2 linked regions of the Caenorhabditis elegans genome follow. The protein of the gene in region 1 interacts with the protein of each later gene in a pairwise test. Each region holds a gene or a part of one and is shown on either strand. Other genes may lie near its edges.

Evidence for each region.
Region 2: the proteins of B0495.5 (region 1) and kin-20 interact in a two-hybrid assay, tested with the Caenorhabditis elegans proteins (2 studies listed by BioGRID).

The regions. Positions count from the first base shown.
Region 1 is NC_003280.10:7,694,188-7,700,779, forward strand, and holds B0495.5 (thioredoxin domain-containing protein), read right to left. Parts: upstream 4,308-6,592; 5' UTR 4,297-4,307; coding exon 4,259-4,296; intron 4,215-4,258; coding exon 4,072-4,214; intron 4,028-4,071; coding exon 3,873-4,027; intron 3,827-3,872; coding exon 3,683-3,826; intron 3,626-3,682; coding exon 2,362-3,625; intron 2,316-2,361; coding exon 2,180-2,315; intron 2,132-2,179; coding exon 1,822-2,131; 3' UTR 1,748-1,821; downstream 1-1,747. Other genes in the region: Protein moa-2, read right to left, coding at 4,488-4,639, 4,735-4,846; cdk-11.1 (Cyclin-dependent kinase 11.1), read left to right, coding at 5,126-5,189, 5,234-5,284, 5,330-5,442, 5,490-5,613, 5,657-5,822, 5,876-5,967, 6,018-6,236, 6,306-6,592.
Region 2 is NC_003284.9:15,267,494-15,277,000, forward strand, and holds kin-20 (Casein kinase I), read right to left. Parts: upstream 6,247-9,507; 5' UTR 6,200-6,246; coding exon 5,659-6,199; intron 5,460-5,658; coding exon 5,017-5,459; intron 4,959-5,016; coding exon 4,835-4,958; intron 4,050-4,834; coding exon 3,734-4,049; intron 3,631-3,733; coding exon of another isoform or gene 3,612-3,630; exon of another isoform or gene 3,590-3,611; intron 3,256-3,589; coding exon of another isoform or gene 3,240-3,255; exon of another isoform or gene 3,167-3,239; intron 2,234-3,166; coding exon 2,164-2,233; 3' UTR 1,123-2,163; downstream 1-1,122. Other genes in the region: F46F2.5 (CDT1 domain-containing protein), read left to right, coding at 116-364. UniProt on the Caenorhabditis elegans protein: Essential serine/threonine-protein kinase that regulates diverse cellular growth and survival processes including Wnt signaling, DNA repair and circadian rhythms. Casein kinases are operationally defined by their preferential utilization of acidic proteins.

The sequences.
Region 1 (6,592 bases):
CGACAGTATTTAGAAGCCGATTACTGTCATTTCCAGGTGAAATTTGTGATTAAATTTCAGGTCTTAACATCAATTATCACAGTTAATATTGCTTAGAACAATTTTTCGTTGTGTTAAAGGTACTGGTAGATGTTTTCAAAATGTTCAGTAAACGTTTTGGCAGATTGCCAAATTAAAAAAAAAAACTTTTTGAAAAAGTCTTGCGTGTCAGATTTCCTGAAAAATTCTACGAACTACAAGAGTGTAAGTCTATTAATATATATACTTTTTTCCCAACTTTCCAATTGCAAAAAGCTGGTCACCATATTTCCTCTATTAGGGATCTAGTAGTATTGCAACTCTGCGAACTAAGAGAAAAGTTGCAATACTATAAATATTCCCAATATACTATTTTTTTCGCACAAGAGAAAATAGAAAAATGTGAGTTGATGAGTAGGAAAAATTGTTCTATCTGATTTTTGTCATTATTTCTTCGATATCTTCAATGTTTCAAGGACAACAAATTATAGCAATGAAATTATACAAATTAAAAATAAAATAGTAACGCAGGGGGTACGGTAAGTTCAGAAAATTAAAATATCGATGTTCATTTGGCAATGACAAAAACATGGCATAACATACCACACCCGGTCTATAAATAGATTGAGAATTCAAATGTTTCGTAATTTTGACCACAAAAAATAAATTCACAAGTGTTTTCAAAAAAACCGGGAGGGAGCAAGGAAGCCACGTCCGCATGATAGTCGACAAAAAGTGGGGGAAAAGGCCATAAAGATAAGCAATTGAGAGCAAGAGAAACGTGTACGCGGATGTGACGATCGAAAGGTAAAAAGTAGATCAGAACGGGTTAAAATCAGATATTATTTGGAGCAAAAAAGGACCAAAGAGTCAAAGGGTTTTATTCCCAAAACATTTCTGGGAGATTACAGATGCCTTAATGCTAAATACTACATCTAACATTGTGAAAATTTGTTTTGAAAAATACTAAAAGAGGAAAAAATTGCTATGATTCAAACTCTTCAATAAGATCAACTCAGCCTAATTGGAAATATACTACAATCATTTCTATGTTATTACAGTTGTTATATGATTTACCTTTCACCTCTCATAGAACTTCCATATATTGTTTAGCAGATGTAGTGATAATGATTCAGGTACTCTACAAAAAATTGGATACAAAAATGCCAATATATGGGCGTGGCTTCACAAAGAGCAGTTCAGAAATTCGTCTTCTATGATTCTCAAGAAAATTGCCAAAAGTATTCCTATTCCAGACTAAATAGATCTATTTGAAAAATTTTTATGAGAAGTGCAGTTAATACTTGTCAATAACTTGGAAGGATCTAAAATCAAAAATTTAATATAGGATGTACCGTTTTTATTTTTTAAAGTACTCGAAAATATATATCATTTTAATTTCACACCTCTCTAAAATAACAATTTTAAAAAATTAGAAAAATCATAAATAGGCTTCCCTAGTTACATATATATTCATAAACTAGAAAATGAATAATAATTCATTCTTATCAAAAACTGAAACTAGTCTCTGGAATCAATAAACCAATTCAAATCGTGCCATTGCGGCCGAAGAGCGCTAATAAATTAGCTTGTAAAACTTTGGCAGTGTCGTCAGTGCCTGTGATGATAAGAGAACCGTCCTCTAGCACATTACATGCAAAGTAGTACAATCTGTTAATTTATCAGTAGACACGTGGTGGTCGCCACAAAGCTGAAACTGATGTTCGATAAATGACTAAGCGTTTATTCAACTGACAAAAAATGACATATTTACAGTATCTGGATAAGACAAAATCTACACATTCAGAATTTATTGAATAGTTCTTCTAATTCCTGAATGGCTTTAACTGGTCTATCACAAACGAATCCTTTACACATGTACACTGCAGGTTTCGGTCCTTCAGCCATTGCCTTATGAGAAGGTCCCGATGCTGACAAATCTTCTTCTGATTGAATATGTACAACAGACAGGTTATTCAAGAACTTTTGATTCAGTCGGCTTCGAGTTTCGGACAAAAGTTCAGATTTCGGATCACCAACGAGAACAAATGTGGTAGATCCAATTTGCCATCGATGAAGTGCGACTGCCATTTTTGGTAGGGCGATTGGGACCCTAAAATTAAAAATGTTGCGAGCTCAAGCAAAAGTTGTTCGATATTACGTATTCAGTCGCTCTGAAGCTCCCCGGAAACACTGATTCGCCTTCTCACGATATTCCTCCTTTTCAAGAATGTCATAAAGCCTAAGAAGGTTGTTTGATGCGATTGAAGTGGCTGTGGGCTCTGCTCCATCTTGATCTGAAATTTAAGTGTTATGTGTACTAATCAAAATTAAAATAGTAACCTTCAATCATTCTCACAGAAACATCTTCATCGGTTTTCTCGCTGATGAAGTATCCATTTCCGTTCCAGAACTTTACATCACAAATTTTCTGAAGCTCAACGGCTTTCTTGAGATATTCATCTTTGCCAACTGTTGTATAGAGATCCAAAAGAGCTTGAATCAAAAACGCATAATCGTCAGAAAATGCTCTTATTTCTTGATTGCCTTGTTCAACTTCTCCATTAGCACCCAAATATACAGATCTTCTAAGCTCTCCATTATCGTCTAAAAATTTTCCGATGAATTCTGCACACTTTTCAGCTCGATCCAAATATTTTGTTTCTTCAGTAGCTTGATATGCTTTCACAAGTCCTGTGATTGCTAGTCCTTGCCACGAAGTAACCATTTTTGAATCAAGATGTGGGCTTGGTCTTTGTGTTCGAGCATTCCACAAAATTTCTTTTGCTTCATCGATTCCTTTCTTGAGTTCCGCAACAGATATTTCGTGATTCGTGGCACACTCCTCATCAGTCAGCAACTTTCTCAGGACATTTTTATTCTTCAGTTCACCATGGGGATCCGAAGATCGTGCAACATTTCCACTATCTTCAACATCGAAATAATCAGCAACTACATCGAAAAGTGAAGCTGATCCAATTTTCTTGTCTCCCAATAATTGTTTAATTTCTTCTTTCTCCCAAGCACAAAACGCTCCTTCAACTTTATTCGAAGAATTATGATTTGGCAAGGAATCAGCATCTTCTGCAGCATAGAATCCACCATCTTTATGACTGATCTTTTGCATGTATTGGTAGATGTCATTAATGACATGCTTTACATTATCATGTTTTCTTTCTGTCAATTTATGAAAATCTGAATATGTAGCCAATAGCTGAGATTGATCATACAACATTTTCTCAAAATGTGGAATATGCCATTCGGATCCGACAGAATATCGATGAAATCCATTTCCAATATGATCATGGATTCCTCCATCAGCCATTGATTCCAAAGTTTTTTGAAGCATCATGATACTGTCTTTGGCTTTTTCGGATTCATTCTCGCTTGCAGCAAAAGTGATTAGAAAATCTAAATCACAAGCTTTTGGAAATTTCGGAGCTCTGCCAAATCCTCCAAGTCTGCTGTCAAAAGATGATTGTTTGTGAGAATATATTGATTTGAACACTTCTTCGGATCTATTGACATCCCCAGAAGCAGTTTCAGGTTGAAGAAGTTTGATAATTTGGGCTCCGCGTTGTTTCAAACTCTCTCCTTCTTTTTTCCACTGAAAAATTTTAAAACTTTGGCTAATTTTTAAATGAAAAGATTTTGTGGCACCTACTTCAGTATGAATCATGTTGAGGATAGTTGGAAAGCCGAGCATTCCACGGTTGTCGTCTGGTGGAAAATAGGTTCCGCCAGTGATTGGATGAAGATCCGGTGTTAGGAAAACTGACATTGGCCATCCACCGTGTCCACTTGAAGCCTGAGATGGAGATATTGATTAAAACAATTTTAATTTTGTTTCATACCACGACAAAAGCCATATAGAGTTTATCAACGTCTGGTCGTTCTTCTCTGTCAACTTTGATAGCCACGAAGTTGTCGTTCAGGATTTTTGCTGTTGCCTCATTTTCAAATGATTCTTTTTCCATCACATGACACCAGTGACAAGTTGAATATCCAACTGAAATATTAAAGTTTGTTTGATAATATATTTTGATTATCTACCTGACAGGAAGATAGGTTTGTTATTATCTTTAGCCTTCTGGAATGCTTCTTGTCCCCACGGATACCAATCGATGGGATTGTTTGCATGCTGGAGGAGGTAAGGACTCTTTTCCTGTCCAAGACGATTTTTGTACGTTGAAGTCCTGATTTGTTTTGCTTTACAATTTTCATAATTGAATAAACTTACATTCGGATAACAGTTATTGGTGCAAGCGCTCTTAACATCAACACTGTCTCTGAATTGTTATCTTTTCTAAAATAAATTATCACTAACACGAGCTACCATGAAGTATCATAGAGTAACCAACATTTTTTCCAAATTTCTACTCAAGGTTAAATATTCTCAAACACATTGAATGGAGATCAAATTACTTCATAAAAAATATAAAATAAGTTATTCAGATAGTTAGGCGTCATCAAGAGGATTCTTCTCTGGAGGCGGTCCACACGGCTGAATCATGCGATTTATCAGATTGAAGCGGGTTCGAGCTCGGCTCTCGTTCTCCACAACGGCAATATACGTGTTCATTCCGGGATGAGACATTTGAAAGGCGCGAGTGTCGCGGTGCTGGAATATTATTTGTTTATTCAAACTTTCTATAGATTTTGGCAGTAGCCGTTTACCGTTTTAAAGAAATTTATGAGAAAAAGAGAGAAACAAACCTGATTCACAATCCATTCGTGACGGTTCATGTCGCATGGCCGTACCGGTGTATTTCGATTGAAGATGCTCCAATTGAGCAAGAACGTGGAATCGTTCTCCGGGAAGAGCCATTTTCTGGAAATCTACTAATATTTAACGAAGAAACCAATGTAACAGTGAATTTATATAAATAAAAAAGAGGGAACACATGAAACTTATAGATAAAAGATTATTTAAGAAGTCGTCGCTGTTTTTAAAAACGATAAAAAAAACAAGTGTCGTAAGAATGCGCGCACGAGGTGTAATCGGTGTTTGCGTACTTGTCCACCGTACTCCTATTCGAAAATGTTTTCTTGATCAAAATTGTTAAATTTATATTCAGAATTATTTCGTTTTCAAGATAAAATCATTATGAGCGACCACTTGGGAAGTTCTCATGACGAAGGTGAGCTGTCAGATGAAAGTCACAAGAAAAGTAAGTAGGTTTCACAAGTTTTGAGTGTAACTTATTATTTCTAGGTCAAAGAGCGTCGAGTTCCGATGAGCCAAATCCAGCCAAGTCGAACAAAGGTATATAAAGTGATTAAATTTGAAACTACTAATTATAAATTTCAGGTTTGGAATCAAAAATGCGTGAAAGCATATTAAGTCGTCTGAGCAAGCGGAAGAACAGTGAAAGCGATGATGATACCACAGAACAACGGTTTTCAATACAGCCTAAAAACGCTGTATGTTAATTTTTGTGTATTACTGTTTTAAAATTATTAATTCACAGCAAAAGGCAAAAGAGGACCGATATCGAGATAAAGAAAGAGATAAAAAACGGGAAAAGGACAAACGAGATGACAGAAGAGACGTGCGTGGACCAGATGCTCGACAAAAAGATCGTGATTTCAAAGGTAATCAGCAAATAGAATAAGAGGTACTTATTAATACTTTTAGGACGACAGGAAAGATCTGGAAGAGATCAGAAAGTACATGAACATAGACATCATCACCATCATAGAAAACACGAAACAGATGGGCACCGCACAAACAGAAGTAACAGAGATCGTTCGTCTGAAAGAGACTCAGAAAAACACAAAAGGCATATTGATCGTCATAAAAAGTAAGTTCGTTTCTTTCTGAAAAGAAATTAATAATTTTTGTTTGATTTTTTAGATCCAGCACAACTTCTCCTGATAATGACAAATCGCCACACAAAAAGTCAAAACATACAGATGTTCCAGCAGATGCAAAGCTCTTTGATAGAAGTATTTTAAACCACATACATTTTATAGTGATTTAATTTTGAAAATTTCAGTTCTCGACCCGAACTACAAAAAGAAAGATGACGATGTTCTCGTGATTGAAGATGTAGAAATGTCGCCAATTGAGATATTAGAAGAAAAGGAAGAGAAAGAAATTGTCGAATTCACTATAGACTCACCAGCTGGCCCCAAGAAATACTCAAAATTCGAAAGCGACCCAGAAAGTGATCATGACGATACTAAACCGAAGAGCCCTGGAAAAGCTGAAGACGGTAAAAATTTGCCCAGTATCAAAATTGAAACAATTAAGTTATACTTTTATTCATTTAAATCAATTATAGATGACGATGTCATAGAAGTATTGGATGATGCTCTACATTCGGATGATGATGCAGATAGCGATGAAGATAAATATTTAAAAACACCAGAAGATCGAGAATGGGAAGAAATGACTGAAACTGAACAAAGACTTCATAAAGAAGCAATGAAAAAACGTGCGTCAATGAAACAAAAAACATTGATCGCCCAGTTACCTGTTTTTTATCCCGGTCTCATGGGATGTAGAAATATTGATGAATATGAATGTGTGAATCGAGTTGATGAAGGAACATTTGGAGTTGTATATCGT
Region 2 (9,507 bases), on another chromosome or scaffold:
TTTGAAGAACGGATCGTCATTTAATCCTTTTTTTTTAATCTAAAAACATTTAATTTTAGCTGTTTCTTTTGAAGCTTTATTGTTCATTACAGCCAATCTTAATTGTTTTCTTCAGATTGAGGAACGTGAAGCACTGCTCGAAGTCATTGAAGATGCTCTTGGCGAGACATTCGACCGCTACTCGCGCGTCCGAACCAACCAGATAATTGCGAATAGCGCTCGAAAACAGGCACAAATCTGGCGAGACGTCAAGGATTTTCTCGGATGTAATTTGTTCCCGTCTGCAATTCAAATGGCAAACAAGAGCGCAACCAGGAGTAAAACAGCCGCCGAAATAGTAGCCAGCATCAAGATGTATCCATGATTACCTGTATAACTGTAAATAATCAGATTAAAATGTTAACATATTGTATTAGGGAAGGTTGTGAATATTTTGCAAATGTCAGATGTTTTGGAAAAAAAATGTTATTCGTATACTGTTTATAAATAGAAAAAAATTATTAGGATCTTAAATGTGGAATAGCGTTGGATTTGTTACTTTAAAAATGCTAAAGTTATCTTAAAACTGAATAATTAAAATATCAAGATAAAATGTTTTGAAAAATTTTCAAACGTTTGTCATATCACCGGTCTAGAGATTGTAGTCAGTTGAAAAACCAATGCATCTCGAGGCCCAAGGGAACGGGCGCGCGAAAAACCATTTTGTGTCGATTTATAAAGCGTTCCGTAAATCCACACAAATCGGCTCTTCCCGCAACCCCGCCCATTGGGAAACATCCCAAGATGTCTGTGTTTCTGCAACTGATACCACTCTCTGAACCGGTAGTAGTAGGTAAAAATTAGGAAAACAGCAATATTTGAATTTACATGGATTTTATTAAATACTCTTGCACTTGTGTAGTTGATGCAACAATTTTTTTCAAATGATGTGTTTTTTACAAAACAAGGCCATTGCAATCTATTAACAATTTTCGTATTCTTACTGTAATATAGAATTTATATGTTCTTATGTATGTTGTTGTTTTTTTTTCAAATTTGACCCATCCCCTTAAATGTTCACTTCCGCCCAACCTGTGTAGTGTGCTCTCATACATTTGCTCAACATATAAAATGCTTGCTTGAAAAAAATTGTTTTTTTTTTTGAAATCATTTGAACAACAAAAAAATAGAAGGATAAGGAATTAAAGAAAATGACAAAACATACATTTTACCAGTCTGCAAAAATAAAAGGTGAACTTTTGTGAGAAGAAAGGAATTGGGACGGGGCGAGGGGGGATTGAGGGGATCAAGTTTGATACAGTAGGTCTCTTCACCCGCAGAAGCGACGTTTGAGAATTAAAAAAACACCATATTAATCAATAATTTTCAAAAAAAGTGTAAAAAGGAAAAAGTAAAATTAAAAAGGACACATTTACGACACACGGCATTGCCAAGAATTGGTTTTTTTTTTTGGAAACGTTCTGCGCAAAAAGGAATGATTGAGGGGGGAAAATTAGAAAAAAGTGGTAGTTACATTACTGTTTCCTAAATCACAATATAATGAGGTAAGTTATATATATATATATATATATTATATGTATATATATATATATTCTTTTAATTGCGACAGATTGAGTGAGAGTGAGAGAGAGAGAGAGGTTGAGGGGAGCGAGTGAGAGAAAAAAAGAAACAGTGAGAAAGGTAAGAGAGATAGTCCGAAAAGGATGAAGGCAGTTTTTTATTCAAAATCCTATGATCTAGTATATTGTATTCATAATATGAAAAGAAGTAAACGATGAATTGGAAAAATTAGAAAAAAAGTTCAAAAAACCCAAACTCGTAAGAGAAAGAGACGATTGTTAAGCTGGAACAATTAAGAAGACAAAAAAAAGTCAAAAAAGTAAAAATATACATCCGAAAAAACTGAGACAAAGATCAATGACAGAGCGAGGAAAATGAACAGAGAGAAATGGAAGAAAACGTTGCAAGTGAAATACTAGAAACAGGTTGTTGTTGTTGTTGTTGTTTTTAAGAAAACAACAAAAAAACACAGAGGAAAAAAAGAGACAGGAAGGAGGAGAAAAGGAAGAGGCAAATGAAACATGAATAGTATCACAAAACGGGGGTAAGAAATGAGATATTAAAGAGGAAATGGAGCACAAACTTGAAAAGGAGATGATACAATTAATGTCGACGTTGATTTGGTACCGCTTGCTGGAAATTGTTCCGAGCCTCCAGACTTTCGTTGTAGAATCTGCAAAATTGAAATTCTGGAATCAAAGTTGCTCGAGTACGGTGAGTGCAGGGAATTTGAAAATTGTAATTTAAATTTTTAAAAAATAACAATTTGAATTTTCCAATTACGAGATTTTCAACAAAGGAAAACACAGGGAAAACAAAAAAAAAACTAAATTTTCGTGAAAAATTGAGGCATTTTTTTCAAAACAGATAAGTACATTACTCGTTGGGGAATATTAAGTGAACTTTTCAAAGTTTTGGGTTGAAAATGTTGCAAAAGTGAAGTAACACCATTGGGAGAATTGTTAAAAACCACTTCTATGGTGCCAAAAAAAACCAAATATCGTAGTAAAACTTTTCGGAAAATTTTTTGAAAAATATTTATTGACAGTCAAAAAGTGGCAATTCGTAAGTTTTTCCACTTTTAAAATTTCCAAAACTAGAGCACTGTCGCATTCTTGAATCCCTACAATTCACAAGTAATAATTTAGGCCATAAAATTCGGAGCAAAAATTTTTTTCTGATCCGCCGTTTTCAAAAAAGCGGCAAGACCTGGGGCAAATGCCACTTTGGAACTGTCAATAAAAGAATTTTCAATATCCTTTTTTGAAACGTTTTACTATGATATTTGGCAATTTTGGCATTGTATTATAGGAGTGGTTTTTTATCAATTTCTGCTCCCATTTTCTTACTGGCGCTTTTCCACCTTTAAAACGAAAAAGTGTACGTGTTCAAAAATATTCCAAAAAACCAAGATATGGGCGGAGCTTTATATAGGAAAAAATTTGAAGATATTTTTTTTGCTGTATGCAAGACTAATTTGTTTTTAGTTACTAGAGATATTTTTCGATTTTTTCAAAATTAAAAAAAAGTCAAAAATCCAAATTAGTGATTGGTTAAAACGGGTGCAAATTGGAAACGTGCGGTGGTGGTGGTGCTCAACTCTTACCTCTGGCAGTTCAAATCTATTCTTAGGATAGTATGTTTTTATTTGGATTTTCAGACACACAATGCGATCAGTTTCAGTTGCGACGAAATCTGTAAAAACACAAAGCGTGTCAGTAGTTTTGTATTATTTGGTGAATGTAGAAAAATGAAAGCAAAGTACACCGCTAGTTTACCGGTTATTCGTTCAAAAGCATTATCATCTAGCCACTACATACTATTTGTTTCACTCGTCGGTTTAGCAACATCACAGTGACGAGACACCAACGGAAATAAGCTATAGTTTATGAAAAAATGATGAAATCAAAATTCTAAGCAAGAAAGAAAACAGCTTGAAATATTAAAATTAAAATAGCAGAAAGAAGAAGTACAAAACAACAAAGAAAAATACACACACACACATCACAACAGAACGTGTGTGAGAAACCTTTTTTTGAGGGGAATTTGAGTTAAAATGGCAAGTCAAATCTGGAAAAATTAGGGGATTGCCTTCGTTTTCTTCTCCATTTTCTATATTTTTTTGTTTCAAAATCTTTGCAAATCAATAGAAAAATCAATAGGAAACACTCACTTGTATGTATTCCAGTCAAACACGTAGTCATAGCAAAACTGTTGCCGATGGAATAACGTGCGGAACAAATTTCTCAAATAACCATAATCAGGCTGCTCTTCAAATCCAAGACTACGGCAATAGTTGAGGTACTGGGCAAACGCCTCGGGGTAGCCAGCGCACAGGTCGTCAACTCGCGTCGAAATCTTCTTCTCTGATATCAGCTCATACTTTTGCCGCTTTGTGACAGCTTTTAGTCCCTGCCACGGGAGAGTTCCACGATTAAAGTACATAAACACGTAGCCAAGAGACTCAATGTCGTCTCTTCGTGATTGTTCTGAAAAAAAAACAAATTGATTCAAAGTTGTATGAATGCACGTGGTGTCAGCGTGCCCCATTTTGGTTTGATCTACGTAGATCTTCGGAAAATGCGGGAGAAGAGACGCAGGCTTCTCAACTGATTTCTCATGGTTAAGAGCCTGCTGACGTCACATTTTTTGGGCAAAAAATTCCCCCATTTTTAGTAGATCAAACCGTAATGGGACAACCTAACCCCACGTGTGAATGGGCGAATAATGGATTATTCTTTGGGTTGGAAGAAATGGTTATCAAATTTTCAAAAAAAAATTATAGGATCATGATTTTTACTGTTACTGTAAAAATATTGCGTTTCATTTTTAAAGGTGGAGCAGCGCTAGAGGGGATTTTTGCTAAATAAACTTATAATGTTCCAAAACGACCGAATATCATAACAAAACACTTCAAAAAATTTTAGATTTTTTTTAAATTTTCTGGTCAAAGTTTTGGCAAATTGCCAAAGTTTTTGAAACACACATAAGCTTTTGAGGAAATTCAAAGAAATGTCGCAATAATTACAACAAATTTAAATTATAAAAAATGTAGGAAAATGTGTTTTTGGTCGACTTTCAAAATTATGAGTGGTAAAAACTAAGTATTTGTCACTTTTTGACTGTAAATAAAAAATTTTCAAATTTTTTTTTGAAAAGTTTTATTTTGTTATTCGCTCATTTCGGCTCCATAGGAGTAGTTTTTAACACTTTCCCCACTGGTGCTACTCCACCTTTGAAGTGCTTCACTGTTAATGCAACTTCAAAAACATACCAATTCCTCGATGAGTATTTATACTGGCGTATCTTGCAGTTCCAGTTAGATTCTTATTTTCCCGATATGCGATATGTTGATGTTTGCTATCACGATAGCGTTTCGCTAGTCCAAAATCAATAATCTGCAAAAAAAGGCACAACATAGTAGGCTGGCTAATCCCTCACAAAAGAAAAACTTACATAGACCAGATTTCCTCGCTTTCCAAGACCCATCAAAAAGTTATCCGGCTTAATATCGCGATGAATGTAATCTCGGCAATGAATAAATTCCACACGAGACAACATTTGATCGGCAAGCAGCAGGACGGTTTTCAGCGAGAATTTTCGTTGGCAAAAGTTGAACAGATCCTCGAGTGAAGGGCCTAGTAACTCCATCACCATAACGTTGTAGTCACCTTCCTGCCCGCACCACCGAATCTCTGGAATTCCAATGCCTCCGAGCATTATGCGGTAGAGCCGTGATTCAATGTGCAGCTGAGGGTGTTTGGATTTGACACATTCCAGCTTCACCGCCACTTCTTCATTTGTTTGAATATTTTGACCCAAGTAGATGTCACCGAACGAGCCGCTTCCGATTTTGCGACCGAGGCGGAAACGATTGCCGACACGAAGTTCCATCTCCGCTGAAAATTTGAATATATATTATTCACAATTCATAAATCTGGTATTGTGAATTTTGCACTTTAGATTTCAAATCGCTCTGACATTGACGTAAAGCGCATTTTACTACCTGACTACTGGCGCGATTAAAATCAAGTTTTTTTTTGTTCGAAAAGCCTTTCACTTTTCATGACCTTTTGCCAAGCCACCCCGCTTATTCACCTTTCTTGTGCACTAATGGCTGCGGAACTGGAGGTATCTGCTGTGTCGCCAAAAAATGTGATAATAGCGTTGGATCAAGCGTTAAAGCCAACGACACAAATTGTGCATGAGAAGATGCTAGCTGTGCCTGAGCCAACGCTGCTATTGTATTCGGGTCTATGGGCGGCCAATTGAATCCAGACTGTTGTGTGAACATTGTGGGGTCTATTTGGGGTTGAGTTGGATGTGGTATTTGAGAAGGTTGAGCTTGTTGTAATAGAGGAGGTTGTTGGTGTTGCTGTATAGGTGGAGGTATGACTGGAAAATTATGGAGCAGCCGTGGCTGATGGTGTTCTCCGTGTGCTTGCGCCATCAACAGAGGGTGCCTATTCATTTCCTCTGGCCCGCTGCCAGATGGTAATAATAGGGCCTCTGGGCCACCGATCACCGCCGTTTCACCGGGATTATGACTGTTCGTGGCTGGTTCGGTGGTGTCCATCGGTGTGCTCGTGTTGTTGTGCCAGGTTGCTGCAGCGGCGGCATCATTTGACATTGTCGCCATACACCTCTCTGCACAATCGGGACAGACACCCTCCAGCTAAAACGTGGCAAAAATCAGAGAGTCGAGTTTGGTTAGAAATACGCCAAAACGAAGAGTCAAATGAAGCAATCAGAAAAAAAAATTTGGCAAAGATAGGAGGAGAGGAAAAGTGTCACGTGAGAGAAACACGAGCCACAAAATAGAATACTGATAAGTCTGAGCCAAAGATTGAAAACAGTTGAAATTGAAAACAGAGAAAGTACTTGCACTAAAAGTCTACGTAAACCCCTCATTGAAGTTCCCCCTAACAAGGAACGGAACGAACGCAAACAGTGAAAAAAAAGTGAAAGAGATAAAGTTTTTCTTGTTGGTGTCTCTTTTTTTGTTGCTTCTCTATCTCACTTTTTAATGCGTTGAAAAACTAGATTTTCGTGCCAAGTGCGCAAATGGCCTCACACACAGGGACAGGGACAGTCACCATACACACACACGCACACACACATACACACACAAAAGTGCTTTGTTCTTACATCTGACGTGTGCAATCTAACCTTGCGGCAAAAAAAAATGGAAAGTGGGAGGGGAACGACAGAAGAAAACGTGTTTTCAGGCGTTTTTCTGTCACCTCGCGCTGCTTCTGCGCTCGCTCCCTTTTCCTCTATCTCACGCGCGTCCTCTTTTTGGCAAATCAGTTCGAAATGACTTCTGGGCGAGCGAACGAGAGAGATATCATGTTGGATGGTGAAGCGCAGAGGTGCAGAAAATCGACCTTTGTGATGATCCGAAATAGTACGCAAAAGAGAAGGGGGGAAAACCAAGAATAAGAGGAAAGGTGGAGAAGGGGGGGGGGGGGGAGAAACAAACATCACGTTACTGACTGGGCAAATAAATGCGAAAATTGATCTTTAGGTAAATTGTGGAACAGGTACAAATGGGTTGTGTTCCCAATGATGAGGGTACGCAAAAGTTCAAAAATCAAAAGTTTGAATGAAACATTTCAAGGATATGAATTTAACAAAAAAATTATTGATTAGGCAAAAATTAAAATTTCTTATGCACTTCTTATGCTGCGTATAAACATTTTATATCAGAAATGTCTCAAATGTTTACATAATTTTTTTATGTTTTAGATCAGAAAACTTAACAGGCGTTTGTAAGGTACCTTTGAAACCTCGAAAAAAGGCGAAAAACTTAAAGCATTCATTTTTTTTTCAAATTTTCGCTATAAAAACTCTAAAAACACTATATAGAAAAACAAAAAAAATCCCTAGTTAGTCAAGTCAGGTTCGAAGAAACAACGAGGGAAAGCGAAAAACCGACGGGGAGGGAATAGAAACGAAAGTGCAATCGTACAAGAAACAGTTTGGAAAGTGAAAGATGAAGAGATGGAGAAGAAGAAAAGCAATGGATGCGGAAACGAGGGCGAAACAGAAAGGAAAGGATGCTGCTGCTGCTGGGGACTGCTGCGGCGGCAGTGCGTCGCCTTCACGTAGTCTTTCTGCGTTGTATACAGAACAACGTAGCGATGGATCAAAAAGACGGAGAGAGAGAGATATGGAAAGAGAGATGGACGGATAGAAAGCGTATTAGACAGCGCGGCGAAGGCGAAGCTTGCGGGGTGGCGGTAGGAATAAGAGGGGAGAGATCGAAAGCGCGCCTGCCGACGCGACGCGTAGCAGCGCCCTAACCGTGCGGCTGCGGCGCGTTGCAGGCCAGACAGAAACAGCCCTTTCTTCTCCCCCCCCACATTTTCTGTGTGCTTCTCTGAATTCTCCTCGCTCTCACCTTTTTCACTTTCCATTTCGCTCTAACAGCGCTCACACACTCACACACACACACACACACACACACACACACACACACACACACACAAATACAACGTGGGAGAGAGAGACCAGACTGTGGTGATAGTGGGAGAAGGGGAGGGCCAGACAGGAGGAGGAGGGGTGGAAGGATAAAAGTGAGGACATTGGGACGAGCGCTCGCCGCGCGCGCGCCCGCCCGCCTTGTGGAAAGAAAAACCGGTCTAGCGCCCTTGCGAAAGGGTGCTTTTGCTGCTACTGCTGCTGCTGCTGCTGCTACGGTGTATGTGGAAAGATAGATTGGGGGACGGGGACGGCCACCCTGCGCGGAAAAACTCTCATTTGAAAATGAGAGTGTGTAGAACGAATGGGAAAATCAAGGACACATGGGGGAGCTGCTGCACCACGACCGCCGGCGCCGCGTCGGCCGCCGACATGACAAAAAAAAACTCCGAGCAAAAGTGCATCTGCCGCTTTCCTTCCCCCTCCAGCAACTCCCAACACTATCATAGTCAAATAGGCAGGGCGACGTGAAAGACGATAGCAGATGGGTGGTGGGATGAATTGCACGGAATACAGGCGAAACAGTTGTGGGTGCGACGATATCGAAAAGGTTGTTCAAATACACGCACGCGCACGCTCGCACTGCATGTCCTAGACAACCAGATAGGCCGATTGGGAGGCGGAGGGCGCTGTGCTGAAATATATATATATATATGGATATATATAAATTTTTTCTGTGCGCGCCCACCGGCACTCGTACTATAGTGCATGTACGTCTATTTAAAAGTGCACATTCGAAGCGGAAAGTACAAAAGAGTATTTTGTTTTTCAGCTGCTCTGGCAAGGCACACTTTCCGGCACTTTCAGAAAGTACGTCTAGTCGCACTGATCTCATCATATCAGTTGTGCTTTTTTGTAGGGTGGGGAGAGGGGGTAAGCAAGAAAAAAAAGATTGATAAAATTCCACATCGGCAAAGATAAGAGAAAATTAAATGTACAATAAAATGTTCAAGGCGGTTGCGAAATTTTCAATCAATGCAATCCAGGTGAAAAAAACAAACTTAGTTTGCTGAAATACATTCGGACCACCAAAGCCAAAATTTCTTTAAACTCTCGTAAGACGTATCACAAAAACCAGCATAGTCCAAAAACAAAGGTCTCACAGCGAAAAATCTCAATCACAGAAAAAAGTGAAAGATAAAACAAATCGTGAGGAAATACGATGCTATTGTTTAATGCATATTTCTTATTACGCTTGAAACTTTAAAAGAAACAAAAGAAAATATGTAAAGCAGAAGGAAAAGATGAAGAAAACGAGGAAGAAAAATGGAGAAAGAAAAGAAAAGAGAAAAGAATGGAATCGAAGAAGATGACAACAAATAAGACGGAGAATGCAAAGAAGACATTTGCACTTTTCTCTATTTCTCTTCACTCTTTCCCTCCCGTCTCCAAACCTTCACGCTTTCTCCTCTCTCACTCTCTCTCTCTCTCTCTACATTCCCTTTTCGGTATAAACGGGTTATA